2 linked regions of the Ovis aries genome follow. The protein of the gene in region 1 purifies or fractionates together with the protein of each later gene. This does not show direct contact. Links are inferred from orthologs where the notes say so. Each region holds a gene or a part of one and is shown on either strand. Other genes may lie near its edges.

Evidence for each region.
Region 2: the proteins of XPO1 (region 1) and NUP214 purify together in Homo sapiens (affinity purification with western blotting; 4 studies listed by BioGRID and IntAct, with this or other methods). This does not show direct contact. The link is inferred for Ovis aries from reciprocal best matches to the Homo sapiens genes XPO1 and NUP214.

The regions. Positions count from the first base shown.
Region 1 is NC_056056.1:46,607,272-46,623,386, reverse strand, and holds the end of XPO1 (exportin-1), read right to left. Parts: intron 15,719-16,115; coding exon 15,560-15,718; intron 14,630-15,559; coding exon 14,432-14,629; intron 14,098-14,431; coding exon 13,959-14,097; intron 13,763-13,958; coding exon 13,581-13,762; intron 13,502-13,580; coding exon 13,345-13,501; intron 13,260-13,344; coding exon 13,096-13,259; intron 12,829-13,095; coding exon 12,694-12,828; intron 12,366-12,693; coding exon 12,182-12,365; intron 11,431-12,181; coding exon 11,324-11,430; intron 9,331-11,323; coding exon 9,136-9,330; intron 8,443-9,135; coding exon 8,274-8,442; intron 7,878-8,273; coding exon 7,743-7,877; intron 7,658-7,742; coding exon 7,498-7,657; intron 7,415-7,497; coding exon 7,318-7,414; intron 6,510-7,317; coding exon 6,363-6,509; 3' UTR 5,451-6,362; downstream 1-5,450. UniProt on the Homo sapiens protein: Mediates the nuclear export of cellular proteins (cargos) bearing a leucine-rich nuclear export signal (NES) and of RNAs.
Region 2 is NC_056056.1:5,580,382-5,597,496, reverse strand, and holds the start of NUP214 (nuclear pore complex protein Nup214), read left to right. Parts: upstream 1-4,766; 5' UTR 4,767-4,880; coding exon of another isoform or gene 4,881-4,925; 5' UTR 4,926-5,225; coding exon 5,226-5,270; intron 5,271-7,229; coding exon 7,230-7,425; intron 7,426-8,060; coding exon 8,061-8,212; intron 8,213-9,590; coding exon 9,591-9,789; intron 9,790-10,686; coding exon 10,687-10,757; intron 10,758-11,279; coding exon 11,280-11,343; intron 11,344-11,965; coding exon 11,966-12,069; intron 12,070-13,243; coding exon 13,244-13,350; intron 13,351-13,968; coding exon 13,969-14,035; intron 14,036-16,297; coding exon 16,298-16,424; intron 16,425-17,115. UniProt on the Homo sapiens protein: Part of the nuclear pore complex. Has a critical role in nucleocytoplasmic transport.

The sequences.
Region 1 (16,115 bases):
GTAGGCTGTAGTCCATGGGGTCGCTAAGAGTCAGACGCAACTGAGCGACTTCACTTTCAATTTTCACTTTCATGCATTGGAGAAGGAAATGGCAACCCACTCGTGTTCTTGCCTGGAGAATCCCAGGGACGGGGGAGCCTGGTGGGATGCCATCTATGGGGTTGCACAGAGTTGGACATGACTGAAGCAACTTAGCAGCAGCAGCATGTTCCTCAATATGAACTTTATGAAGTGATCTGCCCCAAAAGGTTTCAGCCATTTGCTAGTTTACCTCAATTCTTTGAAATATTCAACCTCCCACTTTACAAAAGTCATAGCTCTTATTCATTTTGTTGGCTCACAGTGTGAAAATTTCCAAGGGACAATTCCAGAAGGCATAGCTCGTAAGTTCCTTGTAAGCAAAGTAAAGGTTTTGGAAGAGGGGGGACTATAACTTTATCATGCTGGTAAAACTGGTAAGGTGTTTCACACTGTCACCTCTCTTTCTTCCCCTTCTTCGAATTCAAAACTCAGAAGAAAAGTTGTGAATACATGGTTTCTTGACATTTGAATGCATAGTTACTGGAATTTTTCTTAGAAAGCCTCTTTCTAAGAATCAGTGAGAAACAGTATTTTCCAAACTTAAAAGCTTTCAGCTTCTATTTTAGAAGTTTCATGAAAGACAATACGCTTTCACAGAACCTCAGCTGGACTATGCAGTGTTTGAATGCATATTTTTCCAAGATTTATCCCAAGTTTTAGAATAATGGATATTCTGAAATGAATCATCTTGATGGAGTAGATGACCAACAATGCAGGCACATTCTAAAATTTATTTGCAAAGGCAGCCTGAGAAACTTATAGTTCAGATTTGCCAAAAACTGTGAATCTTTCCTGAGGTTGTGACTTTGTATCTACTAAGGAACGCTATAGCTACTCAATGATTACGGTTTCTTTCAATCTAGGAAACTCATTAATATTAATCATCTATTTAATTTTCTCATGTGATGACTGAACTCTGAAAAACTCTGGAAGTTCTTTTAAATGATACAAGATTCACACAGCTGCTTCATGGAGACAAAATGACAAAACATGGCTTCAGGTCACCCTGAAGAACTAAGGAGATTGACAACTTGATAACTTAGCAGAGTATTAACAGGTACAATTTATGAACCAACACCATTTCCTACCTTAGCTATATAACTACATGTAGTTGTATAAACAAGATTTGTTTTAAATTAATACATTTTGGAGAGTTTGAATTAATAAAAGGTGAAAAATTAACTATGTTTTTTTAAAAGAATTGTTTCTAAGGGAGTCCTTTCTTTATCTTGATGGTCAGAAAGCACAAGAGATTTTAAATTAAGAGACAAGCAGAGCCTACCCAGCCCAGTGAAAGCAATGCGTAGTCAGCTAAGGCTCTGTATGTGTAAATACTTACACAAGTGGAACTTATTGCACATCACCTCACAGAATAAAGAGGAACATCCTGGGGGAGCAATCTAGTTTACTAAAATCAGGATGATTTTTCTATGTGGCTAGGCACAGATAGTCTAAGTAGTTGTTACATGGTCTATTTTTAACGTTGTAGCCTCTTAACAGCTCACTTGTGATCTAGTTGTAAACACCTTCTGAAGCAGAAATTTTTTTTCTATAGACAGATTAATCATTTCTGCTTAGTCTTTAAAATAAGCAAGCAAACACACCAGTTGTAATGCTTAATGTAACCTAAAGGGCAGGCAGGCTTGTCAACACCAAAGCTCAGGCCTTGGTCCCATCTTTTCAAATGTCTGATTAAGATTCAGACTTGAGGTGGACTCAAGAATACGATTTCTTGTGGGCCAATAGTTTGAAGAACAAAATGGAAAACACACCACTACTTTCTGTGTCTAAGAGCTAGATGAATCACAAAAAGGCCAGAAATACTTTAGGAATGGTTGGTTCTTACCTGATGCAGACATGCAGAGTAAGTCTGGTAATATCTGATCTCAGAACTTTTGAGACAAAGGGAGAAGGCCTACTTTCCTGTCACAGTTGTAGAAAAAAGATGTTCTGGGTCAGGAACTTCAGTTTAGGGTAGCAAGTACAGAAAATTAACGTTCCGTCCACCCATAATGGATCTCTTATGGATAATCCTGCTGGACTACAAAAAAAAAAAAGTGTATCCCAGCTTGCAAGAACTATGGCTTTAACCCTTTTTCACCAAGTAAATAATAGGTTTCCCATATAAACTTTCCCAACTCCTAGGCATGGCCTAACTCCCTCAACTTCTGTAATGCCTCCATTCCTTCAGGTTTTCAAGTCTTCATCTTGGTACGTCAGGATACTAGCTTCAGCAGTTACCTTGAAAATCAACACAGGGCCATTAGTAACAAAGACAAGGAGTGAATGGTTTTGTTTGCCACCTTGTACAGATTTTTTTCTTCAATTGTGTACAGTGAATGACAAAAACAACTGCCACTGTAAGAGGAGCAATTTCTTTGGTATTTTCAATACCTCAAAGCTTAGACTTATTTTCTCATGGAGTCAACTGCCTTTTGTCCTTTTCGCTCAACTTTTATAGTAAGACTTAATTCACTCTCCCCCTTTCTCATTAATAGAACACCAGTTTTATTCAGAGCAGCAATGCATACAGCTTTAGCATGGTATTTCTCAGCTTCTTATTAGGCAGGGTTATGGAAATCAGAATATTCCAAAGTGTTCTGCAACTTTTTCTGGGTCTTAAAAGGGGAAGTTTATTTTCCATGCTGCCCAGGATCCAAGTATAAAACCTGAAATTTCCACAACCATATTTGACCTTGGGGTATAACCCAGGTGCTTGGGGACAGAAAAAAATTTCTAAATTGCCTAAATCTTCTATCATAAAGCTGCACTTCCCAAAGATCTGTACTGGTTCTCTAGACACCACTGACATGAGCACTGCAAAATAAACTACAAGCAACTATTGTATTTCTTGTAACATGAGCAAAAACACCTTAAAATGCTGATTTATAAAGATATTATTAAATATGTAACTTTCGCAAGCTAATAGGGGCTTATTCCCTGTGGACTCTAGAATAAAACAGTAAATAAAAGTAAGTGTACTCTGAGAGCAAAGTTATTGGATAGAGGTGCGCAGGAGGGATTTGTTAGTTGGGAGAGCAGACAATACAGAATATAAACTATGCTTAAACAGGAAAAAAGAGAAGATACTTTAAAATACAGATCTGCATTAGTAACCAAATATTTTTCAAGAAAACAATTACCACTGAAATTAAAAACTACAAATGCAAAAGGCATGAACCTAAAATTGGGTACTCATTTGGGAAAAACACAAACTATGAAAAGCATTCTTAGGAACTGCTGGGGAAACCTAAACATGGACTAGATATATTATGGAATTATGGTTAACTTTACCAAGAGTGTCAAGGATGAAAAGCACAAAAAGTGGTAAGAAACTTTACAACTCTACTCAATTACTGTTCATTTTACCACAGTACTTTAAATACTGAAAGTACTATTTATATTTTTATGTGACTGTTTATAATCCAGACATTTTGTCCTTGAGTTTCTTCTAATCAGAACATCAAAAACTTCTTAACTTTTCTATAGGCTTGAGTCTTCACACATTACAGAATGGAATTGTTGGAAACCTTCCGGAAGGAACATCCAATACATACACCAGCACATCAGAACCATTAATCTCACAGTATTCTAATACTGCATTTTTACCAAGTCTATCCTTGCATGTCTGTTGGCATCAAATCTGCATCCTAGATCCTATCATAGACCTGACTCAATGGCGGGTTGATAGCCACTATAAGTTTGAATTCACTTTCATTACTTTCTGCTTTTTTCCCAACTCTAAGGTATTAATTGCAATATGTATTCTTATGCACCATCAAGAACAAGAAAACACTTTCAACTATGACAACAGTCTTTACTAAAAATAAAAGTTGGTTACAGAAGCCTTTTTGAAACTTCAGTATCAACTTCTTATAAATAAAACTGCACTGCTAGGCATTTGATGAACAATTCTTTGCATTATAGCTTATTGACAGCTTCCCTGCTTAGGTCCCAAAAACAACTTGGTTGCCACTGATGTCAGTAAATATGGAAGTGTGATTATTCTTCCAATGATTATTTACCCCCCCTTATCAAGTTTATATCCTGCTGCCTTCGTATGCCTTTTTGCATAGAAGTAGTATTTTGTTGCTGACCAATCTAAGACACTTTAATACTTTTTTGTAAGACAACTTTAAATAGCAATAAATGCATACAATTATTGAGTTCGCACATGGACAAGCAGGGAAATTTATCAACAGTACTGCCTAGCCACCAGTTTTTAAGGTGCCACAGATCTTCAGAGATGCTAAAATGTTAGAACAGCATCCTACTGTTGATATCCTCTTGACTCAGGAATTAGCTTTTGTAAGACCATTTTCAGTTCAAATGACTTGTCTATGATTTTAATGGGTGTCTAAACCAAGATTCAGACATACTTATAAAACAATTCCAGTTCTCTCTCACAATTTATAACTGAGACGCTGCCTTTTTGCAAGAGTTAAACAACACTGAGCCAAACATTTCAAATGGCCAGTTTATCAGTATGCTTTCTTGTAAAACACGTTGAGGCTGGCCTGATATGATTAACTTTTATTCAAGCAAGAAATGCCCACAATAAGTTTAATTTTCTATTAGCATGTTCTCATTTTGGCCAAAGCTTGGTTTCTTTAACATTCAAAACATATCAAGGTAGGCAATGGGGCTGTAGGGTAAGAAAAGTATACATTACCACTGATGGAAAGCTGATTTCAAATACAGCATATGATTTGAAACTGAACTCTTTTTACTGTTCTAAGAAAACTTATTTATATGCAAACACCAGTAAGAAAATCAAAGCTTTAACAGAGCTAAAGTATTAAACAAAGTACTTCAATATTCCTCTCTGTATATTTAAAACATCTTACTATTTTTTGTTTTAAAAAGACTTTAAAGCATGATTACATTCTACTGAAATAATGCCAATCTTTGCCAAAGACCTATATAAAAAGTTAGGAGAATAGCAATTATATGAAATTGCTGATTCTCCACAAACATGAGGCACTTCAAATGCTTAGGTTTAAGTATATAGAATCATCTAGAAACAGGCTCACTCAAGCTGGTTTCCTTTTTCTATTCCCTTTTCATATTTTGTAGGGAATCTACAGCTTTGTTACCCCCAGCTCCTAACCAGAGGAAAGATGCTTTTTAACTGCAAGTAAAGGTAAAATGTGTGCCAAGCTGTCACAGAAGGGATTGGTTTCTTGGGAACAGAAAATATCTCAGGAACATATTCGTTTTATACAAATGCTGCCTTTACTCAATAACCTTAGAAATAATACTTGGAAGTCAACAGTTATCAAAATTCATTTAAAAATGTTACCTAATACCTAAACATAAATAACCACTTTCATTAATACAGGAATAAGTTTGAGCCAATAAAGGGAAAATAAATGTAAACCAAGTTTATTTTGCTTTTTAAGTAGTGTTCTTAAAGCACTACAGCTTGGTAAACAATGTAAATTAGTATAAGTCATCTCAAAAGCCAGAGTTTTGTTTTGTTTGTTTTTAATGAGTTGTTAAAAAGATGCAGCCTATTCTAACAGGATAAATATTTTTAACCATTTCACTTTGAGTTAATGAAGGCTCACAAATGAGCAACACTCCTCATTGAGGAAAACAAAAAGCTGTTGTCGACAAGCGACAGCACACACACACAAAAACAAAAAGAACTGTGTAAAAATAACTAACTGTGTTCCCATATTTTTTGAAGTCGTTTACAATGGGATGATATGCACATGATCTTGCTGCAAACTTGCCATACAGACTTGTAATACATGTAGTCTAGACAAACAATTCAGTCCAAGAGGTGCTAACTTCAGACAATGCAGCACTATAATCCTTTTAACAACGCAATCTGTTTTACTCATTATCTTTTCTTCTAGACTGAAATACAGGCTAGAAAGAAAATGCTCCCTAATTAAAAATTGGTATTCTTTACAGGAAAAATTGTATACTTTTGCATCAGAATTTACAAGTATATGTTCAAATTGGATTTGCCTCCTCCCCCCATCCCAGCCACAAAATGGGGATGAAGTTAAAATTTTTAAAAATGCCGTAATTTTCAACTTCATGCAAACTAAAGATGACCAAAACAAAAGCTTAAACAATGGAAGGATATTTCACAGAAAATTTCTTATACAAAAAACACATAAGAAAAAGGGCCACTAGGTGACATTTTAATTTACAAATTGGCATCATTTTGGTCGACAAATATCCAGATGCTGTTTTCATCTGCTAACAAGAGTTGCAGAGGAAAAGAAAAAAAAGAAAAAAAAAAAAACCCAGCATGACTTCTGATTTTAATCACACATTTCTTCTGGAATTTCATGTGGATTAAGGATGCCTGGGACAGACATCTGAAGTTTGTGTTTTTCTTCCTGAGCCTGTCGAAGGGCTGTTTCTCGTTCTTCCAAAAAGAGATCCGATGTATCTTCACCTGCAAACTCCTGTGAAAAGATAGTTAACTGTCAACATACTTAGCAATGTAGATTATCCATCAATCGTTGGGCTTATATATATAATAAGACTAAATGTGTTGGTTGGAGGCAAAGATTACAAAAGAGGGATAGTATAATGCCACATATAAAACATACTTCAGGAGTAATAATAAGAAAGACTAATGATCAAGTTTAAGTATATTATCATCGTTCTCATAGCTATGTTATCAATTTTCATCCTTTATAACTCTGTATGAATTAGCTTTTCTTTACACTTAATAAAAAAAAATAAAACTTTGTATTTTGGAGGGGGAAAAAAACCTGCATGTTATGTTATCAATTCTTATTTAATAGATATGGACAAGAATTCATCAGCTCTTTTTGATTTCTTTAAAACACAACGATACAACAAAAATTCCTTTTCCCCTAAGTCAATGAAGCACCATAACAGCAGTAAATAACAGGCCGGTATCTGCTAATCACCATGGTTCCCCCTAAAATGAATTCTTTACTAACAATGGGGAAAATCTCAAAAGGAACTATCAACGTATTTCATTCCCCCCACTCCTTTAAAAGTATCTATGGGCTTCAATCACAATGTTGCAATAGACATGTTACCCCAAACATTTTAAACCAATCTCCTCTTCTGGCCTTGATTTAAAGTTTTTCCTTCTGTAATCTATCTCAAAAGAGTAAGACTGTACATATTTTAAAAGCACACTCATTTTGCTCATTACAAAAAGTGGTCAATTCTGGATGCAAGAATGCAATCAGTATTTACTCTCAACATTTCTGCAACTGCAAATAAAATACGTACCTTTATCTGTACCAGGAAATCCCGAAGATGTTCCTTGAATGCTGGAATATCCTGATTTAAGCTGAAAAGTCCTGTCACAAAGAGCTTTACTTGAGCGCTGCAAGTTAAAACACAATGATTAATCACCTAAAAAAAAAAAAAAACCTTAAAAAATTTGAGTTTATAAAAAGGGATATTTACTCTTGTAGATGAGGGAATGCAGACTTAAGAAGATTAGCCACATATTCCTGAATAAACATTTGGTTGTTAACTGGATTTCCAGGATTTAATGGTGTACTTATTTTTCCTTCTTCAACCAAATTAAACATATATGCAAGGATGGATGCATGCATTGTTAAACCTGTTGGTAAGAAGGACATCATTAAACTCTCAGATGTACTAACAATCAGAAGGAACATAGAATTTTTATAGCTTTAAATTCTTACCCGCAGTATGTGAAGTGTCTGTCACAACAGAAAAGATATGCTGAAGAATATCACAAAAATAAGTCTGATAAAAACTCTGAGCTGCAGCTTCTTCTTGTGCAACATTTTGTAAGAGTGTAAAAAGTATCTGTAAGCCTAAAAGACATATAAAGCCAACCAACTTATTCCATACTGACAACATTCACAATAGTACTTCAGCTATTAATTCAAAGTCCCTCTCTTTTTTTTTTTTTACGCTAAAGACAATTATTTGCCTAAATTATCTTGACTCAGTAATGAAGTTAAATTAGAATCAATGATTGCTTACTTACAGACTAATTAACCATTACCACCTTTCCATTATTTCTTAAGGTTTAGTTGATTCTCTCCCACATCCATTACTGATGCACTCAAAAAAACCCCATGACAAGTGAAGTGATACCTCTTGTCTGCAACTATAAATACACAGATAGATGGGTGTCTATTTGTAAGTGCCTGTATGTGGATTGTGGGTTGGCAGGCAAATAAAGATCATCATTTTTATGTATTTACCTGTATCTGCTACATTCCTCATGGTATGTTTAAAAGCCCAAATAATAGAATCCAAAACAAGTTTAAACTGTGCAGGTGGAATAGCCAGGAACGCTGGGAAACAATGAGAATTGACAGCCTGAAGTAGTAAGAAAAAGTTCGTTCTGTGTTCAGGATATTCTTCAAAGTCCTAAAAATAAATGGTGGGAACAAAATAGAAGTTTCAATGCCTTAAATTGTATTTAATGGAAGAGGGAAAGCAAGCTCTAATTCATTATAGATATTTGGAGTTGTTAGTGGATCCCATAAGATATATGGCCTACTGGAAGTCAAACTCACAGATAATACAATTCACCTGGTAAGGGAGAACAAAAATACTATTACACAAATGAATTGTCAATATGAAGGAATACAAGGTCATCTTATTATAAAGAGAATTCAACAAAACCCACGAAGACCATCACATTTTCTATTAGCATTGAAACTTGCCAGAGATTTGCTACCACTTTAAAGTGACTTTGAGATCAGTAACACAGATTAGAGAAGTCTACTGTGTAAATGTGTACACGTGTATCTACATGTTTTTTTTTGGTTAATACATTTTCCCATTCTTTATAAACATATACTACACTTTACTGAACTTTAACTAAAAACCCAGTGACTAAAATGTTTCAAGTTTTAAATAAACGCTAGCTGCTATTTGAATAAAAATCTTTGGCAAATTTTAAAAACAAGTACTTTTCTTATCTAGAAGTGCAAATGTTTTAACATCAGAGCCTAAAATTTATGCTATGCTTATAGACAGCCATCATTTACGCTTTTAAAAGTAATATGGATTAACTGTAGAACTTGCCATTATGTAACTGAAATGCAAATTGCATACCTTATTTATCATATTCAATGTGCACTCAAAAACAGCATCAAATATTTGAGGTATTTCAGCTGTTATATGTCCTCCTAACTTGTTGACAATAATAGCCATAGTACTAAGCACTTCTGGCTCTCTAGCAGCTGGGACATTTCTCTGGTAATCAATGAGAACTGCATCCAACAGAGGAGGAACAAAATTTTCAGCTACCTGTTTAAAAAAAAAAAAAAAAAACTTTTAATTTTAATTCAGGCACTTGCTAACTCTTACTAAGCAGCTAGGTCAATGTCACCTTGTAAGACTTAATTTAGGTTGATCATCTACTGAAAAACGGAAACTCTTATGGCTTTAATTCTGGTGTATTAGAACTTTACAAAGAAAAATCAAGAAATTAAAATAGGCAGAAAAGGGCCACGGACATTGTACAGCTTAAATCTATACTCATTAAAGAAAACTGGGGCCTGAAATCAAGTGACTAGCTCTAAGTATTCTGGCAGGACCAGGATTCTAGGGATACTGTGTGTGCGTGAGGAACAGGGAGGGTAAAGCCTAACTGTACACCGAAGTATTCGTATCGAAGCAGAATCAGACATCCACCATCAATGCTTTTTTAAATTTAATGAATGCTAACCGATAGTTTAATAATCAGAAATAATAACCATTACTTACTCTCAAAAAAGGAACTAAACTATGCCAGAAAGACTGTGGTAGGCTTTCCGAGATTCCCAATAAACAGTCTAAGGTGTAAACTCTATGCTTTATAATGCATCCTCCATTAAGATGTGCTCAATAAATATGATCATGTTTCATTTAACTAAACAGTAGTAGTGTCCCAATATACAAAACAGGCCTAGCAAGATTTGAAGGATAAGCACAAAATTATTTTTGTTTAATTACTAGGTTTTCTCTTAACTAGAACCGATTCTCCCTTCTTTTTCTTCAAGTTCTACTCAGACGTGATTAAGTTCTACAAGTTTACTTACATACATTATAAAATGATTATAGAAAAGTAAGTTTAGTGATCATAGATATTTCATATATAACACCTCATATAAACAGGCAAAAAGTTGTGATAAAAATGCTTAAGATTTACTCAACTTTCTTAGAAAACATACAGCAGTGTAAATTTTATATACCATGTTTGTACACTACATCCTTTTTTTGACCTACAACATGACATTAGTTCCTATTAACACAGTCAAGTGATTTAATATTTTTATATATTCTAAAATGATCACATTAAATTTATAGTCTGTTACCTTAAAAATATTAGTTCTTGACTATTATACACTATTTCCCATACTGTATACTTCATACCCATGCCTCATTTATCCTTTCCTTGACCACTCTCATATTTCCACTCTTAACATTGAATTTATTTTCCTACACCCTAAATCTGAATTATTTGACTATCTCTGAATTCACAGCCCCAAAGTTCAACATAAATCTTAGCTGTAAACTAGTTTGATACCTTGGTAATTTCATGAAGAAACTTTCCAGTATTAATAGGAACAATATTGAAATATCAAATTTATGAAAGTAAGTAGCACAGTGCTCAATGCTACTTCCATCCAACAGCGATGAACAGAAAAGGATTTATCGGAATGTTCCAAAGATCCAAAGAACAAAAGGTTTAACAATAACTAAACATAAATAGCTCCCCCAAGTTCACGCATATGGAGCCAATTACTTTTTGAAAACCATTTAAGACTGACAGGAAGACTTTCAAACCTTCAACTATAAAACTGCTTATTCCCACTAAGGAGGCAAACAGCTCTTATGACAGCTTTACAAATTGCTCCCAAAACCATCAGGAAAAAAAATTTCATTTGAACTCTATCCATGGAAAATAAAAATGACCCAATCATCTCAACTACCTTATTATATCACCACCCTCCCCCTACCAACAGCAATTTATTTGGAGGAAGGTATGTATCTTGGGCTTCCCTGGTGGCTCAACTGGTACAAAATCTGCCTGCAATGCAGGAGACCTGTATTCGATTCCTGGGTTGGGAAGATCCCCTGGAGATGGGATCTTACTATTTTAATGGACCCCCAAAACTCCAATAAATAGAATGCTATAAAGTAACACCAAATGTAAACATCTAAATTACCTTTTAAGTAGCTAAATGCATACAGAATATATACACGTTCTATAGAATGCAGTATCAACTTTAAAAAACAAAAATGACACTTCACTTACCATCTGTGGATCATTAGACCGGCTCACCCAACCAGATATTAACTTTAAAGTTTCTCTTTTTACTGTTCGCATACTTCTAATCAATGGTTGCTTTGTAACCATCTCACCTAAAAAACAAATCAGGTGGACTCCAATTTGACAACTAAAATTCTATATTGGCAGTTACATGTACTTCAGATACTATTTGTTTCCATTCTCCATTAGAAAACCTGAAGACAAAGAGTGCTCCTGCTCATTCATGTCCAACTCTTTGCAAGCCTATGAACTATAGCCTGCTAGCATCTTTTTGTTCCCGGGATTTTTCCAGGCAAGAGTACTAGAGTGGGCTGCCATTTCCTCCTTCAGGGGATCTTCCCGACCCACAGATCATTGGGAGGCAGATTCTTTACCACTGAGCTACCCAGAACGCCACAAAAAACAAGAGGACACAGATGAATTTCCTGGGAAATAGAATAATTTTATAAGGGAAAGGGGCATGTGCAACTCATTAAAAATTGTTGAGGACTGCCTAAAACACAGGAGGTATTTTGTCAAAAGTGCTAAATGCTTATGACTTTGGCCACCTCATGCGAAGAGTTGACTCACTGGAAAAGACTCTGATACTGGGAGGGATTGGGGGCAGGAGAAGGGGACGACCGAGGATGAGATGGCTGGATAGCATCACAGACTCGATGGACGTGAGTCTGAGTAAACTCTGGGAGATAGTGATGGACAGGGAGGCCTGGCGTGCTGCGATTCATAGGGTCGCAGAGTCGGACACGACTGAGCGACTGAACTGAACTGATGATCACTGAACTGAAGGCAGTGAATGTAGAACTAACTTAATATATTATTCCATAAGAATTCAGAATTGCTTACCATTAGCTTGAATAGCTGCAGAAATATTTTCACTGAGGCACTTGTATACATTAAGCATATCTAAATAAATTCTCCCAAGCTGAATCACAAATGGGTGTCCAACTGCTTTGCAAGCTCTCACATTTGTTTTCAGTATGCTACCAAGTTGCTTGACTGTTTCAGGATCTTTAAGTATATCCACATTCTGTAAGAACAAAACACAACTCCACTTATCATAATAGAATTCTTTTTCAAAGCAAAAAAAATTACCCACATCACTAAAAACCACCATTACATATATAATCTTGAAGTGTAAAAGTACTGCAAAAGTCTTTATTACTGAAGAATAGAGCAAAGTATTTCCCAAAATATGATCCGAACAGAATAAAAATGCTACCATTCTTTCAATGTGCAAAAGCACAAAAAGCACTATGGATCAGATATACATGTCAAGGTATAAAATTTACTACTTCTGTAAATGTAACTTTCTTAAGATTCCATTAGAACTTTTACAGAAAGTAACTAAAACTTACTTTGGTTGCTTGCTGGATTATGCTATCCCAAACCTGATTAGGAAGTAGCATATATTTTTCTATCAAATGTTCCTGTACTGTTTGGTCTGTTTGTGCACCGATCATGTACCCCACAGCTTCATAAAATGTATGGACCTATATTAAAAGGTAGACATGTTACTTGTATGCATTATAATAAGGAAAATCACATACAAATAATTCATTTACATAACAAGCTAATTTTGTTAACATATCAGTAATAAGTAGCAATTCAGTTTAACACACTTCTAATTAAATTTATGCCTCACTAGAAAAATTTAAACACAGAAACACTTGAATTGAATCCATTAGTGGCATTCTACCCCCATTAATGAATTCTCATTAGTTATTTTCTAAGAAAAATATGCTTACTGATCCACATACCTGTTGAGGTTGAAGATCACAAATTATAGTGTTAATATTGTTCAAAATCTCATCAATAAATGGCATTACTTCTCCAACCTGAACCTGAACGAAATGCCTGCGGCACTTTTGAGCTATTTTAATGAAAGTATCACAAGCCATGTCCTGGACTCCATCGTGGGTCTCTTAACAAAACAAAAACAAATATCAATAAAATTTTTGCCTTTTCCATTAAGCAAAAATAAAATATATTAAGCAAACAGGATTTACCATGCATGAATTCGAAGAGCTTGTTAACTACTGTCTTCAAAAATTTCCAGTGAGCTCTTAAAAATCGTGGATATTGACCTACTATGTACATGATATTTGATGCAATAATAGCTTTATTATCTTTGCCTCTTTTCTGTTCACATAATCCTAATAGGTCCTGTAAAGTAAGAAAAATTTCAGTCATTTATAGTAAAATACACTAACAAGGTTCTAGTTCACACCTATCTCTTACATACCTTTATAACAGTAACAAGAAATCGCTTTTCATCCTCTTCATGCATTGCTCCACTAATGGAGCCTATTGCCCAACACAATGTATTCAAATTCTTCCATGACCACTCCGTACCATTCACTTGATTGTGAAGCTTCTCAGTCATTATTCTTTCTGTATCTACATAATCCAGATGAGTAAGATAAACTACAGGAAAGAAAAAAATTCCACGTTTTAAAATCCAAAACTTAATGAGCAAAAAGATTTTTACTAAGACCAACAGCACTCTAATAAGGATGGCTATTGACAGACTCAGAAACTAAGCATGTTTCCTAAACAGTATTTCCACAAAAGAATACAATTTTAAAAATAAGGATTAAATTAATAGTATTTATTAACTTACCTAATGTTTCTCTCATATTCTTATACAAATTTATGGAATCTGTATCCTTCATGAATTCTCTTACAACTTCTCCCTGATCATTTTCTACAACTAATACTTCCTCTGGTTTAGCCATTCTACTAACCATTAATAAACGGACCTATTCAGCAATTAAAAAAAAAAAATCTGTTAGATCTCTGAAATTAGTTACATCAAATATAACTCCCACTCTCAAAAAATGGCACTTAACACCAACATACCAAACACAATCATGCCCACAATATAAAACAATAAACATACTTAAAATGTAATTCTACAATAAATTTCAATCTAAACATGGACAAAAACAACTGTTAACTTTCCTTCATCTCATTTGCATTTCTAACAAACTCACAGATTGTGCTTGGATAGAATCAGCCAAAAAATAAAAGCCAGCATTTTCATCTGGTCCTCCAAAATCAGAGAAAGCACACTCAACCACACACTGTTGTTACCTTGGACAATACAGGCAAATAGAGCTGTCTCCTAGGAGGAACATCAAAATGCTGACTTCCAGATAGCAACGGAGAGGCAGATGTTGAGAACGGGCTTTCTCTATAGAGTTCAGCTGCCAGGTGATTCCAGTACTCAAGACAAATCTTAAAGATTTCAGTTTCCTCTACTTCGGATACCAACAACATATAATGAAGGGCCTACACAGAATACCAAAACTATTAAAACAATCCTTAGACATTACTAACAACCTCAAACTGTTTTCCATTTGCTATGTTAATGGGAAATAAAAATTCATATTGCTTTTTGTACACTCTGAAGTTTCACCATTTATCAAATATACAATAGAAATTGTATAGGAGCAAAGTGCACTTTCTTCTGACATGTCCTAGAACATGCTAAGAAACTTACATGATTGTTAAAAAGTATGGACATCAAACGATATTTGGTAATAGCAAAAAGGGAGAAATAACTCAAATGTTCAACAGATGAACGGACACAAAAAATGAGGTATATCCATATAAAGGGATATTATTCGGCATGAAAGGGATGAAGTACTGACGTATGCTATATAACATGGTAACATGTTAAGTGAAAGAAAGCAGTAACAGAAGTCCACACATTATAATTCCAATTATATGAAAGGTTTAGAATAGGTAAATCCATTGAGTTGTAAAGCAAATTACTTGTTGCTAGGGACTGGAGGGAAGAGCAGAACGGAATGACTTGTTTCAATGGGTACCTTATCCTTTGTGGGTAATGACAAAATGTTTCAGACTAGAGAGATGGTTGAAAGCACTGTGAATGCACTAAATGCCACTCATGCGACCTGAAAGTTGTATGTTATTACACCTCTATTTTACAATAAGGTTTTTAGACTTTGCCTCTCAGAAATGACACATATGCACACTTATTGGAATTTAATTTTCATTATAAATTACTGATCTGACATTGAATAGAACACAGAAATCAGGACACTTGGCTTCTGACTAGAATCCAGAATTGAGAGCATGTATTGTATTGTGCAGACAAACAATAAGATATGTCAAAGAGTATGTCAAAAGAATTTTAGAACAAAAGCAGTTTCAATTATTATTAATTTCAGAAGCCAAAAGCTCCACAAAGCCTACCTCCATGAGTGTTTCCCTGAGATTTAATCTTTTTTCTATAAGTTGACCATGTTCTTTAAGAAAGGTGCAGAGAAACAAACTGAGATTTTGAATAAAGTTCTGTTCATCATCCTTTCCATTTGAGTATGCAAGTCGAATATTGGTATTTAGAGGAAGCATCTGCAAATTTAAATATGGATAAGCCTTCAAAATAACAACAAAGTTACTACATTTAAGTTCTAAATTTCCATCACATTTTATGAATTTTAAAACATAATAAATAGTTATCTTTCAATAAAATGCCTTGGTCTATTATATCCATTTTTGTACCTTTCAGTCCTAGCTTTTTTTTTAAAATCAAAAGCATAGTAAGATTTCCTCAAAGACAATCCTTTGAAATTTTTCCTAAATCAGTTTTCCCACCTTGGTGTTATTAAAAATGTTCAAATATATAGTTGATTCAGATTACAAATATATTACGTAGCAATGTAGTTTTATGATTAACCTTCTAGATAATTTCATATATACTTAGTCAACCTAGGACTTAGCCAATTCCTTTAATTTAAAAGATGGAAAG
Region 2 (17,115 bases), about 41 Mb from region 1:
AGCGGGCAGGTGGGACTTGAGCTCAGTTTTGATGTATTGACTTGGAAGTGCCCCTAGACACACAAGGGGAGAGGTTGAGGAGGGAGCTGGCTGTGCAGGTCTGGTGCTCAGAGGCCCTTTGTGGACGATCGAACCTTGGATGGGATTCAGAGCCAGGGGCCTGAAGGAGCCTACCCAGGGAGGGAGACCAGAGGGAGGAGAACACTGTCGCTTGGAAAAGCTCCAGGATGTGAGCGCTTTGGGCATCATCACATTTAGTTGGAAACACTGAGCATGTGTTGAGTATCTTGCTTGTGGCACCAGCTGGGAAGGAGTAGGGCTGGGATTCCTTCCTGAGGCTATACCTTGAACCCCCACCCTCTGCTCCCCAGACTTTACTGTCAGAGCAGTGGGAGATTTTTGAAGATCTGGGTTTTGAGCAGACCCACAGCGCAGACTAGCCCTGCCTCCTCCAGGCAGCATGGTCGGGGGAGGCACATGACCCAGAAGTCTGAAGTCTGGAATCTCATTCTGCCTGTGTGGCTCTGAGTCACATTGCCCCTTGGCACCTCAGTGTTCTCCTCTGTAAAATGGGACCATCTGCCTGCAGAGGCTTCTGGGGAAATCCCTCTGGAGAGAGGATGCAAAGGCATTCTGTGGTGGTCCCTGCAGATGTGAGGGCCGGGATGATCTTTCCCTGGATGAGGAAAAGAGTTCTAATCCTGTTTTGTGTTGTTTTCTTTTTTTTTTTCCTCACCACTTCCAAACCAGAGTCATGATGTTCGAAGGAAAAGCCAATGAGGGCAGCCCCAAGCCAGTCGGGCCCCCTCCAGAGAGAGACATCGCCAGCCTGCCCTGAGGACCCCTGCCTGGACCTGCCTCGCCCTCCCCACTCTCTTCCTCCCTCCTGACCTCACCCTTCGTGACTCACTGTGACCTCTTATTCGTTTTGTTTGGTCGTCGTGTGTTTGTTTTTTCTTCAGCAGAATCAGTGATCTCTTTGTATAGCACAAATGATCTGCCTTAAAGGGGCCCTGGGTTGGGGAGTCCAGATCGCCTCCCTCTCTTTTTCCTTGCGTCTCCCCTCCCTGTGCAGAAGGGCTGACATTAAACCAAAAACCAGACGGAACAGGGCCAGGACAGGGAGACCAGAGCCTGTGATTCCCGCACGTGCAGCTGGCACTCTTTGTCCTTCCAGGTCTCTGAGCTGAGTCCTGGCATCCTGGCCTGGCCCTGGTGAAGACCTCAGCCCACTTTTAGAAGACCCTGGAGTTGGGATAAGGCTGTAAGGTCTCGTTAGGGTTTCCTCAGACAGGGATCTTGGGTGTGCTAGGATGTGGCCACGCAGGGTCCCACCTCCCCGGCTGGTCTCCCCCGGTCCACGCCTTGTCTTATTCTCAGTGAGGTGACAGAAGGAGACGAGGAGAGGGGCTTGGCAATGTGAGCCCTTCCAGAAGTTTCCAGAGGAATCCTCTAATCTTGCCCCCGGCCACACCTTTACAGGCAGCTCAGAAGGAGGCTGCAGTACCCCCTGACCCTTGCTGGGGCTTCAGAGGTGGAGGGGATCCTGGGGCCTTGGGGAGGGGTTCAGCTCAGTCTAGTCTCACCTTTCAGGGAGGATGTTGAGGGCGATGGGGTAGGCGGGCGAGGACTTCAGTGCTCATGGCAGAGAGGCAGCACACCACTGTTAAGCCAGGAGCTGAGAAATAGGTTGCCTGATCTGCTTGAAACCTGACTCTGCTTCCTCATTTGCCTCCACACCTTCCGTACACCACTCATTCATTCGTTCTCATTCATTCACTCAGCCACTCAGCAGATATTTATTGACAACCTATTACAAGCTTTAAGCCCCCACCCCCACCCCACTTTGTCCTGACATGTGCTGTGCCCACTGTCTCTCTGATTCATCTCTCTGTTTCCAAATCACTCAAAACCTTGAGCCTGGGAATTGGATCAGGGTCACCTGTGTTTTTTATTATGGACTAGAGTTTTAGAGCCCTGAGCCACCCTGTGGGTTAGCTGGGGCAGGCCTCTCAGTTCACAGGTGACAAAACTGTGGTGACCCACAGGGATTAAGTGCCTTGTCCAAGGTCAGGGGTTTATCTGGAGATGGGGGATCTGGACTGGGGCCTGGGTGTTCAGATACCCTCTGCCCTTGCCTCGTCTCTGCTCTGGGCTGGCCTCAGTCAGTGATGAAAACAAGGGAAGGGACAGGGAGGGGCAGTCTCCTAGGTCAACCCTCGGGGAGGGCCCTGGGCCAGGATTCACCCTTCCTAGTGCCTCTGAGGCAGGATCAGCAGGGCCGTCAGCCTTGATCCCACCTGTATTCTATAGTCCCTTCCCCTGCCCACTCAGGACTTAGATGCACTCATCCATTGCACATGTTTATAAGCACCTGTTACCGGCCAGTACTGAAAAGGACAGACTTAGAGTCTAGTGGGGAATTCAGACCCTGGTGATGAATGTTGGGAAAGAGGAAGCTATGAGGTGACTGCATTGCAATCCTAGGGGCCTAACTGGGCCCAAGACTGGGCAAGAGTCCTGCACAAGACTTTGAAAAACTTCAAGTGGGAAGGTCTGGGGGCTGTTGGAGGCTGGAGCCAGTGTGAGCTCCCCGTGGCTCCTTTGACCCATAATCAAGGACCCAAGGAGCTGACTTGACGACAGTTTTTGAGGAAGTGGAGCAGGTAGGGGGTGGGGATATGGCCAGGTTGGATTAATCCACTGGTCTTGACCAGTTCAGGAACAAGATTATTCGGCCATGACTGGCTGATCTTCAGTCTAAGGAGGTACTTCAAATGCATGAGCCTAGTTGAAGTTTAAACCCCAGCAAAACATTCCTCCCTGTAAATGTAAAATCTCACCCCCACATCTCCTCCCCTGCTCCCACCCCCGAGATCCTTAGCTGAGCAAGTGTCTATCTCCTCCCCTTCCCACTGCCTCTCCTTTCTGGGACAGGCTGAGACGTTTGAGCAAGGAAATGCCTTCCTTGACCTTTCATCATAGTGTATCTGTACCTTACTCAGACAAGAGGGCAGACCCATCTAGGCTTAGTGCAGTGGTTACACACTTTACAAGATTGCAGGAAGCCTCTTTAAGGGAGGAGAGCAAGTGGGTGTGTTTTCAGCTTTTCGAAAGAGCAGGAAAGGGTTCTCTCATTGGATGGGGAGTGTCCCGGGAAACCCCACCAGTTCCTTCATCATTTCTTGGAATGCAGCTCCTGAAGGGAGAGAGTCTCAAGAGTGGTTCCTGGAAAGGGAGGTCTGCATGTATTTCAGACTGTGGTTATTAGCTATAGGACTCTTACTTCTTTGGCTAAGGGCTCAGCTTCTTAGATGTCAGCTGCCTTCTTTCTGAAAGACCAAATCTAACTAATGTAACCAGCAACTTGGGGACTGCCAAGTATGGCTTTGTCCCTGCCATTCAAAAGGAAGGAGTGTGTCGGGCAAGTTAAGGTGGATGCAGTATGTGTGTGTGTGTGTGCGTGTGAGTGTGTGTGATACTGGATATCATCTCTACAGACTGGAAATAAAACATACAAACTTATCCATGTCTTGACTGGTGTATCCTGGGGATGGCTCTGACACTCAGGAAATTCAGAAGAGCTAGCTCACATAGTGACAAAGTGAATGACTGTATCTGTGTACCAGGCTGTTAGACATTGACCTTCCTTTACTGCATACAGCAACCCCATGAGTAAGGTTCTAGTGTATCAGCCTTGCTTGAAAAATGAGAAGCAGGCTTGGAGGAGATAAGCAGTTTGCTGAAAACCAAATAGTAAGCAGCACAATACACCCCCTGGAGCTGACCCATGTGATCCAAATTAAGAATCTGTGTCCTAGAGTGTCTATAATATTCCACTACAAAAATCTCTCCTTTGGACTGTGTAACAGTTGGCAATCAGCATATCCAGACATGCTGAATTCTAATCAGGCCTTCACCACTTTTTGACTGAGGGGAACTTGGGAATCTTCTTGACTTCCCTGTGCTTCCAGTTGCCTCATCAATTAAATGGCAATGATAATCCCTAGGTGACTAGGACGTCTTGAATATTCAATTACACATGGCTCAGCTGGTAAAGAGACCGCTTGCAATGCAGAAGACCTGGGTTCAATCCTTGGGTTGGGAAGATCCCCTGGAGAAGAGAAAGGCTACCCAGTGCAGTATTCTGGCCTGGAGAATTCCATGGACTGTATAGTCCATGGGGTCGCAAAGAGTCGGACACGACTGAGAGACTTTCACTTTCACTGGCTCTTGCTCCAGAAATGACTACCTTAAAAGGAGTAAACAAAGCTGATCGCTGGGGCCCTTTAATCTCCCCTTTCAGCCTTCAGAAACACCAGGGGAGAGGCCCCGTCCCATCAATTTTCTGAACACCTTTTCCTTCCACACCCCGTCCAAAGCCTTTCTCAGGAGCTGCTCCTTGGAAATATTTCTCAAGTTCCTAACATCTTTGAAATCGAAAGTATTAATAACCACCTACATCCAAAGATTACTGTGAAGCCTCAACGAAACGAGCGTGGATATCTCGCGCTTGCACTACCGACTAAAGGAAACCCACACGAGGCGAGCCCACGCCACCTGCAGACGACAGCGGCGGCCTGGGAGCAGCCGGGCGCAGGCGCAGTGACTGCCAGGCCACGCCTCCTCCTCTTCCGAGCCGGCCAATGGGAGGCGGTGGCCAGGAGGCGGCCGCGCGACTTCAGAAGGTCCCCTCAGCCTTCCTCAGCCACGCCGCGGGCCGAAATGCGTGCCGTCACCAAAAGCGCGCCGGAAGTGCGAGTTATGCATCTCGTCGCAAGCTCTGAGGGGAGGAAGTTGGCCTCGGAAAGACCTGGGCTGTGTGGGCCAGGCCGCGGACGGCGGCGGTGGGGGCTCCTTTCACCAACTGAGGCCGCGCGATGGGAGACGAAATGGATGCCGTGATCCCTGAGCGGGAGATGAAGGTCAGGTGTTGGCCAGGGCCTCCCACCCTTCCTTAATCCTGGTATTGCCTTGGCGCCTCCCTGACCCGGGAAGCGCGGGTGTCCGCTGCCCCGCCTCCTGACTGAACGGTGTGAGGCGATGCAAGTTCTTGTCTCCAGAGCGTCCTGGAGCGCTCTGCCGTGCAGCCGGCGTGAAAGCCCCACGGAATGTACTTTCCGCGTCCCCTGCTGGTCTTGTGCGAGCCTCCTGAGTTATCGTGGTTACTTTAATGTGGTCGTCGGAGTATGGGAATAACTGTTGTTTATTGAGCGTTTACTTGCATGCCAGGCGTTGGTAACTATCACAGCGACCCTAGGAAGTACTTGGTAAGTAGAGGAGCAAATAGAGGCTCGGAAAGTTAACTTACCCAAAGCCGCCCTTGACAGGCGGAGTGAAATCTAGGTTGTTGTGAGCAGAGGAGAGATTCTCTCTCTGTCGCTGAATTTCAAGCCTGTAACCCAGGCTTGCTTAACGCAGAGCAGGGATCATCCCTTATCCTACAGGAGCTTTTGTTGTGTTTAGTCGTTTCCGACTCCTTGGGACCCCATGGACTGTAGCCCCCCCGGATTCCTCTGTCCATGGGATTCTCAGGCAAGAATACTGGAGTGGGTTGCCAAGCCCTCCTCCAGGGGATCTTCCTGACTCAGGAATTAAACCCATGTCTGCCGCTTTGCAGGCAGATTCTTTACCATCTGAGCCACCACGGAAGCCCACAAATCCTTTAATTAACTAGATTTGGAGGTCCGTTTTTGGCACTGGAAATCCTTCTGAAGTCAGGAAACTTGAGAGGACCAGATGATCCAAATCTCAGCTTAGTTCAGTCGCTCCAGCATGTCCAACTCTTCGACACCATGGACTGCTCACACTCATGTCCATAGAAAGGAAATATTAATAAGTCATAGGAAGATTTTAGGCATTTAGACAACAACTCACTGAAATGCAGTAGGAAGTAGTAATCCATACCATGTTAAGAGTAGAAGTCTCTTCTTAAGAATCTCTGCCAAGGGTGACCAACCCAATGAGAGTGTGCCCTGTCCCTCATGTAGGTTGGGGCAGAAGGATAAAAAGGTTTTAGAACCACAGACTCAGAAAATGGTGGTCTCCCATTGAGTTTCTGATTACCAAGACCCAGAGGTTATCAGGATGAGAATTAACAAAAAACTGAAAACTTTATGGTGCTGGAGAAGACTCTTGAGAGTCCCTTGGACAGCAAGGAGATAAAACCAGTGCATCCTAAAGGAAATCAGTCCTGAACATTTATTGGAAGAACTGATGCTGAAGCTGAGGCTCCAATTCTTTGGCCACCTGATGCGACTGACTCTTTGGAAAAAACCCTGATGCAGGAAAAGACTGGGGGCAGGAGGAAAAGGGGGCGACAGAGGATGCGATGGTTGGGTGGCATCACTGACTCAATGGACGTGAGTTTGAGTAAGCTCTGGGAGTTGGTGACGGACAGGGAAGCCTGGCATGCTGCAGTCCATGGGGTCGCCGAGAGACTGAACTGAACTATGGTCTCATCTGGAAATCTGTGTGGATTTCTGATCACCATACACAGTTGCAATTACGAAGATTATTTCAGTTACTCTTTTACCAAATATGTTTAAATATCACATCCAAGGGAATTAGTATGTGGGGATCCTGTAGAAAACACCATGTAGCGTAGTGTAGTGAAAGTCACTCAGTCGTGTCCAACTCTTTGCGACCCTGTGGACTATATATAGTCCATGGAATTCTCCAGGCCAGAATACTGGAGTGGGTAGCCTGTCCCTTCTCCAGGGGATCTTCCCAACCCAGGGATCAAACCCAGGTCTCCCGCATTGCAGGGAGATTCTTTACCACCTGAGCCACAAGGGAAGCCATAGGAAACACCATAAAGGTACACAAATGGAGGCTGAGAAAGGCTGTCTTTGGTTTTTATGTCTTAGAGTGTAAGCAAAAGGAAATTTACATTCTTTTCACTAAAACCTTGATTTAAAGATAGATTTAGAATTGAAGGGAAAAAAATATGTATAGTACAACTTAACGTGTGCATGCTCAGTTGCATCCAACTTTTGCAAGTCCATGGACTGTAGCCCACCAGGCTCCTCTTTCCATAGAATCTTCCAGGCAAGGATATTGGAGTGAGTTGGCATTGCCTCCTCCAGGCGATCTGCCCCACCCAGGGGTCAAACCAGCCACACAGTCTTTACTCTTAGGGTAATATATATTTTGCTGTACCAGAATATGACAGGTAATCTAACGTCCTGTTTGTCCTGAATTGATCTTGTTTTGACCCTGCACCATAGGATTTTCAGTTTAGAGCACTGAAGAAAGTGAGAATCTTTGATTCTCCTGAGGAGTTGCCCAAGGAACGCTCGAGTCTGCTTTCTGTGTCCAACAAATACGGCCTGGTCTTTGCTGGTGGAGCCAGTGGATTGCACGTTTTTTCTACTAAAAATCTTCTTATTCAGAATAAACCTGGAGATGATCCTAATAAAATAGGTAAGTTCCTTGGTTTCTGTTGCATGATAGAGAGAGGAGCGTAGAGAAGTGCTAACGTCATCTGCTTCCCAAGTTTTACATAGCAAAACTACTGTTAGTCCTGAGGTTGACCCCCAAGAAGAGGGAGTGCTAGATGGGCTGCTGGACGCCTTCCTGGGTGTTCTCTCTGCTCCTTTGTATTTCTCTTCCGGTGACTTGTTCCTCTGAACTCAGAGGGAAGAACGGCTTACCATGGTGCCACACGTTTTTTTTGTTGTTCAGTTCAACTTGGGTTCTGGCTCTGTAGGAGAAGAACTTTGCTGCATGGCCTTTTAGTTGTCACAATAGCATCATCCAAACACAGGGGAATGTGTACTGTTTGGAGCATTGTTGCAGAAATATGGTACAGGACTATATTCAGCCAGGGCTCTGGCCACAGTTGGTTTCCCCAGGCCGTATGAGGGAGAGCCCCGACAGCACTCACTGCAGCATTAGCCATCTATAAGAAAGCTGCAGTTCTGCACAACTTGGTATCCGGGTGTGTGTGCGTACGTTTATGTAGATGCAAGAATGATGTCACATAGACCTGAGTAGAGAGAGTTTGTGGCTTATGCTTCAAACATTCCATTTTCTGCTCTGTGTTTTTTGGTTTTCAGTTGATAAAGTTCAAAGCTTGCTGGTTCCTATGAAATTCCCAATACATCACCTGGCCTTGAGCTGCGATAACCTCACACTGTCCGTGTGCATGATGTCCAGTGAATATGGTTCCATTATTGCTTTTTTTGATGTTCGCACATTCTCAAATGAGGTAAGCTGCCGGCAAACTCTAGGGACCTAAGGAGAGTGCCTGGTGTTGAATCATAACCTAGAAGTTCCTGGTTGACCTTTGAATTCTTTTTCTAGAGTTGAATTCGGGTTTTTAAGAGGTCCTTAGTTACGGAATCATAAATCAAGATCTTTGCGATAATAGGGACTTCAAGAAATTATTTTGTAATACCACCTGCCCCAGGGTGCTGTCATTTCTCATTTACACTTGAGACAGCCAGAGCCCAGGGACCCTAAGTGACTTGCCTGAGGCCGCAGAGTTAGTAGACAGTGTCAGAAGTTCCTGCATCCTGGGTGTCTGGCCTCCCACCGCAGTGCTCTTCCTTTCCAGGCTGTGTAGTAATGGTAATCGTCAGTGAGATTGAGTGTTGAGATTGACTGCGTGCCAGGCCCTGTGCTGGCGCTTTGCATGCCTTGTTTTTATCCATGCCCACCCCTCTTGGCTTTATACTAGCCTCATACACTCGGTATCATGGTCTTCATCTCAGAGATAGAGAAACAGGCCTAAAGAGTTTAAGTAACCAAGAGTCCAGCAGTACTTGGGCGGGGGGCGGGGTGGGGGGTGGGGTTTGTTTGAGGCACTTTTTTTTTTTTCAGTAGAAAGGAATTTCTTTATTCCTTTCCTGGGGAAAGGGGGATGCAGCAGGCTCGTGCCCCGAAATTGCGCCTCAAGCCCAGAGGCTTTGGCAAGGAGTTTCGCAGCAATGGCTCAACGGCGGGGTTGCTGATGGAAGATTAGCCTGTGTGCAGGGCCTGCAGGCCTTTAATCTGGTCTCAGGTGGTCTCTCTTTTTTTTCTTAATTTTTAAACTAAACATTTAATTTTGTTTTGGGGTATAGCTGATTAGCAATGTTGTGATAGTTTCAGGTGAATGGTGAAGGGGCTCAATCATACATATTGAAGCACCTTTTATATCATTAATCTTTCATTAGCCTTCTACAACAAATCTTTCACTGAGGCAATTTTGGAATTTTGAAGCCTGCTGGGGCTTCTGCGTACCAATTAAAATAAGCGCAGTATTTTAAGATGAGCACTCTCTAAAATTCAAGGACCCAACACTATTAAGAAGCAGAGTCTCAGTTTTTATTTAGTATATGCTCTTTATCCATTATTTTGCATTTGTGTATTCCCTGTTGAGAGTCCCTCTGAGTATGCTACAATAATCGATGGCCATTTTCAAAATTATGTTAAAATTTTCTGTAACAAATAGACTGTTGTATAGGGCTACAGTTTTTTTTCATGGTCATGGGGAAAAGTGAACTGTAATTTGAGAAAACTTGCATATTCAATAATTTTCTTGGACCATTGAATGTCTCTGTATTTATCTGTTTATTTTTGCCTCTGGGCATTTGTTTTAAAAGGCTAAACAGCAGAAGCGTCCGTTTGCATATCATAAGCTCTTAAAAGATGCAGGAGGCTTGGTGATTGACATGAAGTGGAACCCTACAGTCTCCTCCATGGTGGCAGTTTGTCTGGCTGACGGCAGCATTGCAGTCCTACAAGTCACAGAAACAGTGAAAGTGTGTGCGACCCTTCCTTCCACAGTAGGAGTAACGTCTGGTGAGTAATAACATCTTTTACTCTTTAACATACGGTAATGGTCATCTATTTAAAAATTAATCTCTGAGGAAAAAAGCAAATAGGGCTCTTTGTCATACTTGTTTTTTGGTAGAAGTGGAGAGAGTGTATTTTATTTGTGTAGTTACTGTCCCTGAAGCCACACAGCACACATGATTTACCTTCAGTGTGCTTGGGTTTTCTGGTGAAATGTTTGGGTATAGAAATGTTTGGTTTAGAACTGTGTTGTTGAAATAATTATTTTGACCTGAAAGATCAGACTCTGAAACAGTCATTTGTACCTTAGGGGGAAAACATTAGAAAATATCCAATAGAAGCAAGAGAAAGATTTCTTGATATTTGAAAACCTTTTCTATCCTCCTCGATTTATCTAAAAACTGGAGTTTTCTGCACTTCACAGCTTTCTGGGCAATACTCCATTGAAAAAGCCTTTCTAGCAACTGGTTCAATGGCCCAGTAACAAATCACAATTCGATTGTGTCATCGACATGATGTTTCTTTTTTTACTTTGCCAAGTAAGGATGATCCCACAGTCTTCCATGGACTGACAGAAAGAGGAACACAAAGTGGTAATTGTTGCCATTTAGTCGCTAAGTCACGTCGGACTCTTTTGCGACCCCATGGACTGCAGCGCGCCAGGCTCCTGTGTCCATGGGATTTCCCAGGCAAGAATATTGGAGTAGGTGGCCATTTCCTTCTCCAAGAGATCTTCTTGACCCAGGGATCAAGCCTGCACCTCCTGCATTGGCAGGTGGATCTTTTACCGCTAAACCACCAGGGAAGCCTGAAGTGGTGATTACATGGCTGTTTTGGTACATATCTCACGGTTTGCTCCATTTTCTTCAGTTTTTAATTGGTAGTATTTTCTTCTTTACCCAGTGTGCTGGAGCCCCAAAGGAAAGCAGCTGGCTGTGGGGAAACAGAATGGAACTGTGGTCCAGTATCTTCCTGTAAGTCTTGCCTTGGGCTTCAGAGCATTTTTATCAAGTAACTGTTTTGGGGTTGGTTTGGTAGTATCTTTGCTGTTTTTTCCTATTGAAATATAGTTTATGTTCCTTGCAACAAATCTGTCTGCACCCAAGAGAATGCAGGAAAGAGCTGTCGCGTGCCCACTCTGTCATCCTTTTCCTGTGGTCTTCCAGAGATAATATTCCTGAGTACTCTTCAGTATAAATCGGCAGAGAATCTGTGTATGTCCGATCACACCCGGTTGAGAAGGAGAGGCTCGCGGGCAGTGCAGAGGCCTGTGCTGCTGTGTATCCCTCCTGTTCTCTGCAGGGTACAGAGGGTGAATGTGGTGGGACAGGCTTCAAGTTCAGGTTCAGTTTCTTCTTTATCAGCACAGAAAGTCGTTACATGAAATTTGGTCCATGTTCTTTTAGGGCATTGGCCTGTAAAACGACAATACAGTTGTTGGATTTGCGGTCTGGGGATTGTTTTGTTTGACACTGGTTTTTTCAAATCTCTTTCAGACTTTGCAGGAAAAGAAAGTCATTCCTTGTCCTCCATTTTATGAGGCAGACCATCCCGTCAGAGGTAATGCATCTGCTTTTCTCACTGGGCTAACGTCTAATGAGGCACTGTCTGTGGTGCAGAAATGTTAGACCATGTGGGGCCTGCATACCGGCTCAGGAAAGTGCTGGTGCCTCTTGTGTGAAAACACTGTTTCAGCTAGCTAATTAGGTCTCGATCCCTGGGACAGGACGATCCCCTGGAGAAGGAAATGGCAACCCACTCCAGTCTTCTTGCCTAGAAATCCCACGGACAGAGAAGTCTGGTGGTCTACAGTCCATGGGCGGCAAGGAGTTGAACACAGCTACATAACTGAGCACAGCATACATACACAATTAAGTCACCGTAACAGTAATTCTCTAGTAGATACCTGTGTCACTTGGTAAATGATGTTAAATGGATCCTGACTTTTTTTTTTTAATTAGAATTCTTCATTATTTGCTTTGATTATCATCTGCTGGGGGTGAAATACCACTCTGGAATGAATTTGAGCTTTTTGAATCTTTGTGAATTACGTTTAGTGAAGTCTAGACCTTTTTAAAAGCTATAGTAGTTGGATACTTGTTTATCTATGAGCTGATAATTTTATAATGTACAGGGGTTATTCCAAGCACAGAGATGGTTTATTAGGATGTGTGTCTTTCAGTTCTGGACGTTCTGTGGATTGGCACCTATGAATTCACCATAGTGTATGCCGCGGCGGATGGGACCTTGGAAACGGCTCCAGATGTGGTGATGGCTCTGCTCCCGGTATGTGTGTGAAAGCGGTGTCTTGATTATTTGAGAATTATATAAGTCTTCTAATAAAGTTAGAGGCTTTAGGCGTCTCTCTCCTTTCCTTACTGGCAGTGGTACCACTTGAGGTGTGAGATTTTTTTAATGCTGCACTAGGGGCCTGAGGACCAAAATGGTGGTGTCCTCTTAGAGCACGTTCTATTGTTGAGCCATATGGTGAAAAAAAATCCTAAAATTTTAAGTTGTAAACTGTGAGTTATGATAGGTGTTAATCTGATGAAATCATTTTAGAAAAGCAAGAAAATATGTTGATTTTCAAAATTCATTCACTTATTCAACGACTGAACAACAAAGTATGTCAATATGCAGTGGTACCATTTTTAATCTTTGCCAATCTGATATGAGAAAAAAGTGCCTCCTTTTTATTAACTTTTTGGGTTCCTGACAATGTCAAATTTTAAAAATAAGTTTGTTAAGGTGCCTTATTTCAAGATTAAGATTTTCTATTCCCAGGGATAATGTTAACACTAGCATTTGCTGAGTACCGTTTATGTTCCGTGTCCTGGATTAGAAACTTTCTACATATCCTTTCATATCTCAGTTAAAACAGCCTTTGATGTAGATTTTTTTAGGTCCATCATTTGTTGTTGCTGTTCAGTTGCTGAGTCGTGTCCGACTCTCTGCGACTGCTTGGACTGCAGCATGCCAGGCTTCCCTGTCCTTCACCATCTCCTGAAGCTTGCTCAAACTCATGTCCGTTGAGTTGGTGATGCCATCCAACCATCTAACCCTCTGTTGTCCCCTTCTCTTCCTGCCTTCGATCTTTCCCAGCATGAGGGTCTTTTCTAGTGAGTTGGCTCTTTGCATAGGGGACCAGAGTATTGGTGCTTCAACTTCACAATCAGTCCCTCCAGTGAATATTCAGGAATGATTTCCTTTAGGTGTAGGTCCATCATACATAGGGAAAAACATTGTCAGAGAAGTTGAGTAATCTCCATGGCCAACGTTTCTGTTCTTTGTATTGCTCAATGTTGTCTTTATAGTGTGTCTATGTATTTTCTTTTTTTATTTTCTCAGTAAATTTTTTTCATAAAACTTAAAGGATTTTATCTTTTGAGATTCTTAACTTTGTAGGATTAAAGAAAAATCACCCATGAGATTTTTTTTTTTCTCATTCTGTTCAATGTAGAAAAAAGAGGAAAAGCACCCTGAGGTGTTTATGAACTTCATGGAGCCCTGCTATGGCAGCTGTACCGAGAGGCAGCATCATTACTACCTCAGCTTCGTTGAAGAGTGGTGAGCTGTGGACGAGGGAGGGCACACCTGGGTCATTTTGTCCTGCTTGTTCTGTTTTGTTTCCTCTCTGTAAGAGAGGAGAATAGAGGTTGGAGATGCCCTAACCATATATTCAGCTCATGTTGGATAATGCCTGACTACTACATCTGTTTCCCCAGTCTTGAATTATATACCTCGAATACACACTAAACTTAAAAATCCCATTTTCTCAATAAGTCCACTGATGACTTAAGAAAATACAGATATTTAAGGAACATATTAAAAGTTTCCCTCTGAGCTGAAGTGTCCCTTTGAAAGATGGATTTCTTGAAACAAAGTTTCTCTTGCTTCAGTTAGGTTATTCTCTGTTCAGAGTGGTATATTTATTGGGATCTGAACTGATTCTGTAGTGCCTCCCCTTTGTCTTAAGTAAGGAGACAGTTGGCTGAGTCTCCAGGGCTCTGCCCTGTGGACTAAAAAGTACGCTTTACGTCCAAAATCTTCTTACCTTCAACGAGGTAGAAAGCTCGCCTTTCTCCTTGACATCTAGGGAAGCTTTGTAGGTGTCACCACTGACTCAAGTCAAGGTACAGCTGTTGCCGTTTGAATTTAATGGTCTTCCGGTTTTATTCCTTGAAGGGATTTAGTGCTGGCAGCATCCGCAGCTTCCACAGAAGTCAGCATCCTCGCGCGACAAAGCAGCCAGGTAAATGTTTCTCTTTTGTCACTTTTATGTGATGTTGTTCTGAGAGAGATTTTGGAGGGGTTTAACTGTGAGGTTAAGATTTAGCTGAAGTCACACTCCTTTTATTGAGTTTCTGGATGAGAGCACAGCTTAAAAAAGCTGTGGACCAAATGGCTTGGGTGTTGTGTTGGACAAACTTGGGTGCTGGATTCAGCAGTTCCTTCAGTGTTAGCCAAAGCCCTCTGTTTGTTTCCACCCTCCATGAATACCTCATACCCATAGTCGTAATTGAATGTATTCCAATACGAGTGTACCTGGGTGTGTAGGAGCCTTTTTCTGCTTTATTCTGTTTAACTGTCTTTATTTTCTCCTTATTACTTGAATCTGCCTCTTCTATTCAGTTAACTATAACCCATCCTTGATTATGGAAGAGAGACATGCAAGTCAAACCAAACTGTGACTCTTGAGAAATACTTTCTGTTTGGAAAACCACCAGAAAGCTAAAAGCATCTGTGTAGACAAGCCCCCATCTTCCTTCTCTTGCTTTGTGCTCCTTGCAGGCCAGAGTGGGCTGAGGTTGTCATGGTACACTCCCCTTATGCAGAGAGACTACACGGAAGACACAGTTCCTCAGCCGAAAACTTTCCCTTTTGAAAAGTCTACCTGGAGTTTGAAAATGTTCTGTGCATCCTGTGCCTCTTCAGTCATTCAGCATTTATCCACCCTTCTCTTGAGTGGCACGGTGGCCCACCATAAGTGCTTAGCTCTCAGAGTCCAGCACTCTTGATTTGCTGCTCTTGGATTAACTTCAGTAACAATCTCCAATTGGATTAACTTCAGTAACAATCTCCTGATAACACAAGTATTTTATGTATTCACACATTAAGAAACATTCTGATTTTTGCTTTTTATCAAAGTAATTTATGTTCATGGTTGAAAAGTCAAGTAGTGGAAAAGGGCTTATACGTGAAATAGCAGCCCTTCCCATCCTGTCCTGGTCTGTCCTGTTCTCTGAAAGAGACCATTTTTAACTTGTGGTCTCTCTCTCTTAATGGTTATCTCCTTATCCCGAAATAATAATTTATTGCATCACTGGTTATCAATTGTTAACTTTAAATTATTGGCCATGATGCAAATGAGGGTTTAGCTCACGTGTGGCCTTTATACTCCTGTCCTTCCTTTCAATAGGATTAGAGCACTGTTTCAGTCTCTTCTACTTGTTACCTTTGAACTGTAAGTCATTTTTACTTTCGATTCTTACAGTTCTACCATGTAGCATCTCTCATGATCTTCCGGGCTGTGAGAGGACCATCTCAGTACCCACCCTTGCCTGTAGCACAGCTCCTCCATGCCCACCTGTAAGCTGTTGTCACCTGCATCTCATACTCCACAAAATCAAAGCTGACGTTGGTTGTATTTTGCCCTGTGTGATTAGCAAGCCTTCTTTGTTTTGTGTATTGTTGTATTGCCGATTGTTTTTCAAAGTTGGAACCTGTTTCATTTACTAACGTTATTGTGAATGTGACTGTTCACTTCATGCCTAAGGCTTGGATCACAATTGTTTTCTTTCCTCAACAGTTTTTTTGTTTTTCTGTCTCTCGTTGAGCATTATTCCTCCTTTAATTCATGCTGCCCAGTTTTGGTCAGCATTGAAAGTTGGACGAAATGGCTGTGATTTTTAAAAACCAGGAGTCATTTGTTGCAGGGAACAGATCCCACTCAAGCAAACATGAGCCAAAGGGGAGTTTATTGGAAAGATGTGGCTTCTCAGGGAATCCGGTGGCAGGAAGATTGACCGTTGGAGGAAATACACTGAGAACTAGGAAGACAAGAGCTCTGCCTCTGTGGTCGAGTGAGCATGGGGCGTCCGGCAGCTTTCTAGGCTGTGTGCTCACGGCCGCAGCCGTTGTCACCTGGCGCTCCTGGTCCCCATGCAGATCCCTCAGAGCAGCTGCTGGCTGGCTCCATGCAGCTGTCAGATGGTCCCACTGTGTCAGGAGTCCACTCAGATGTGGTGGAGGACATGTCAGAGGATGTTCGTGATAGTGATATTTATTCACCAGACAGGAGCTTTGTACACCAGGAAAAGATAGAAAGACTTGGAAAAGGAACCCCTTGCTTCCTGCGGAGTTCGTAGCTTTTAGACTATGTTTCCAGATTTTAGAGTCCCAGGGAATGCAATACTAAACCAAGTGAGTTCCCTTTTTCTCCTCTCCTATTTGAACAGTGCTGGAAAAAGCTCTAAGCAACGCTGTATCTTCTTCTACTTGTTCTTTTTTCCAGAATAGCTGGGAATCTTGGCTGCTGGAGGATTCTAGTCGAGCTGAACTGCCTGTGACAGACAAGAGTGATGATTCCTTGCCCATGGGAGTCGCCATAGATTACACTAACCAAGTGGAAATTACCATCAGTAAGTATAGTCTGTCATAGCTAAGCTACGTGCAGGAATAGTCTTCTTCCCATCATGGTTAATATTCAAATCCAGCTCTACATTTTCCTGATGGAACTTTCTCTGCCGTGCACTTTCAGCTTGTGGTAGCGTGTCTGTGTAAAGAGTTAGACAGAGTGCACTATACCACACCCGTCTGATTTGAGTGGATATTCACTGACCAAGGCCACACACTCTGTGTGTCTCTGTGTGTGTAAGAATATGGCTGGAATACACAACACCAACTTCGTAGCCTTGTTTCTTTGCCCCTCCCGGTTTCCCAGGGCCTCCCAGGCAGGTGGTGTATCCCAATACTCCGTTCCATGGCTTGGATAAGAAATTGGAGGCCTCAAGTACAGACTTCCAAACGGGGCCCGAGCATGTGCTCTGAGTCTGTCTTCTCCCCTGCTGAGTCTTGGCAGGGCTGCAGTCCCGTGAAATGTGAACATGAGAAATGACATATTTTTTCTCAGGGATCCAGAGAGCAAGCTACTGGCTGCAAGTAGGGAGAGGGAAGCGGGGAGGGGCATCATAGGAGAGGGGGAGCAGGAGGCACAGACCGCTGGGTGCGAGACAGGCTGCAGGGAGGCGGTGCACGCGGCCAGTGTCTGGCAGTAACTGTAAGTGGGGTGCAACCTGTAACACTTGTGTAAAGAATTTTAAAAAGAGCCAA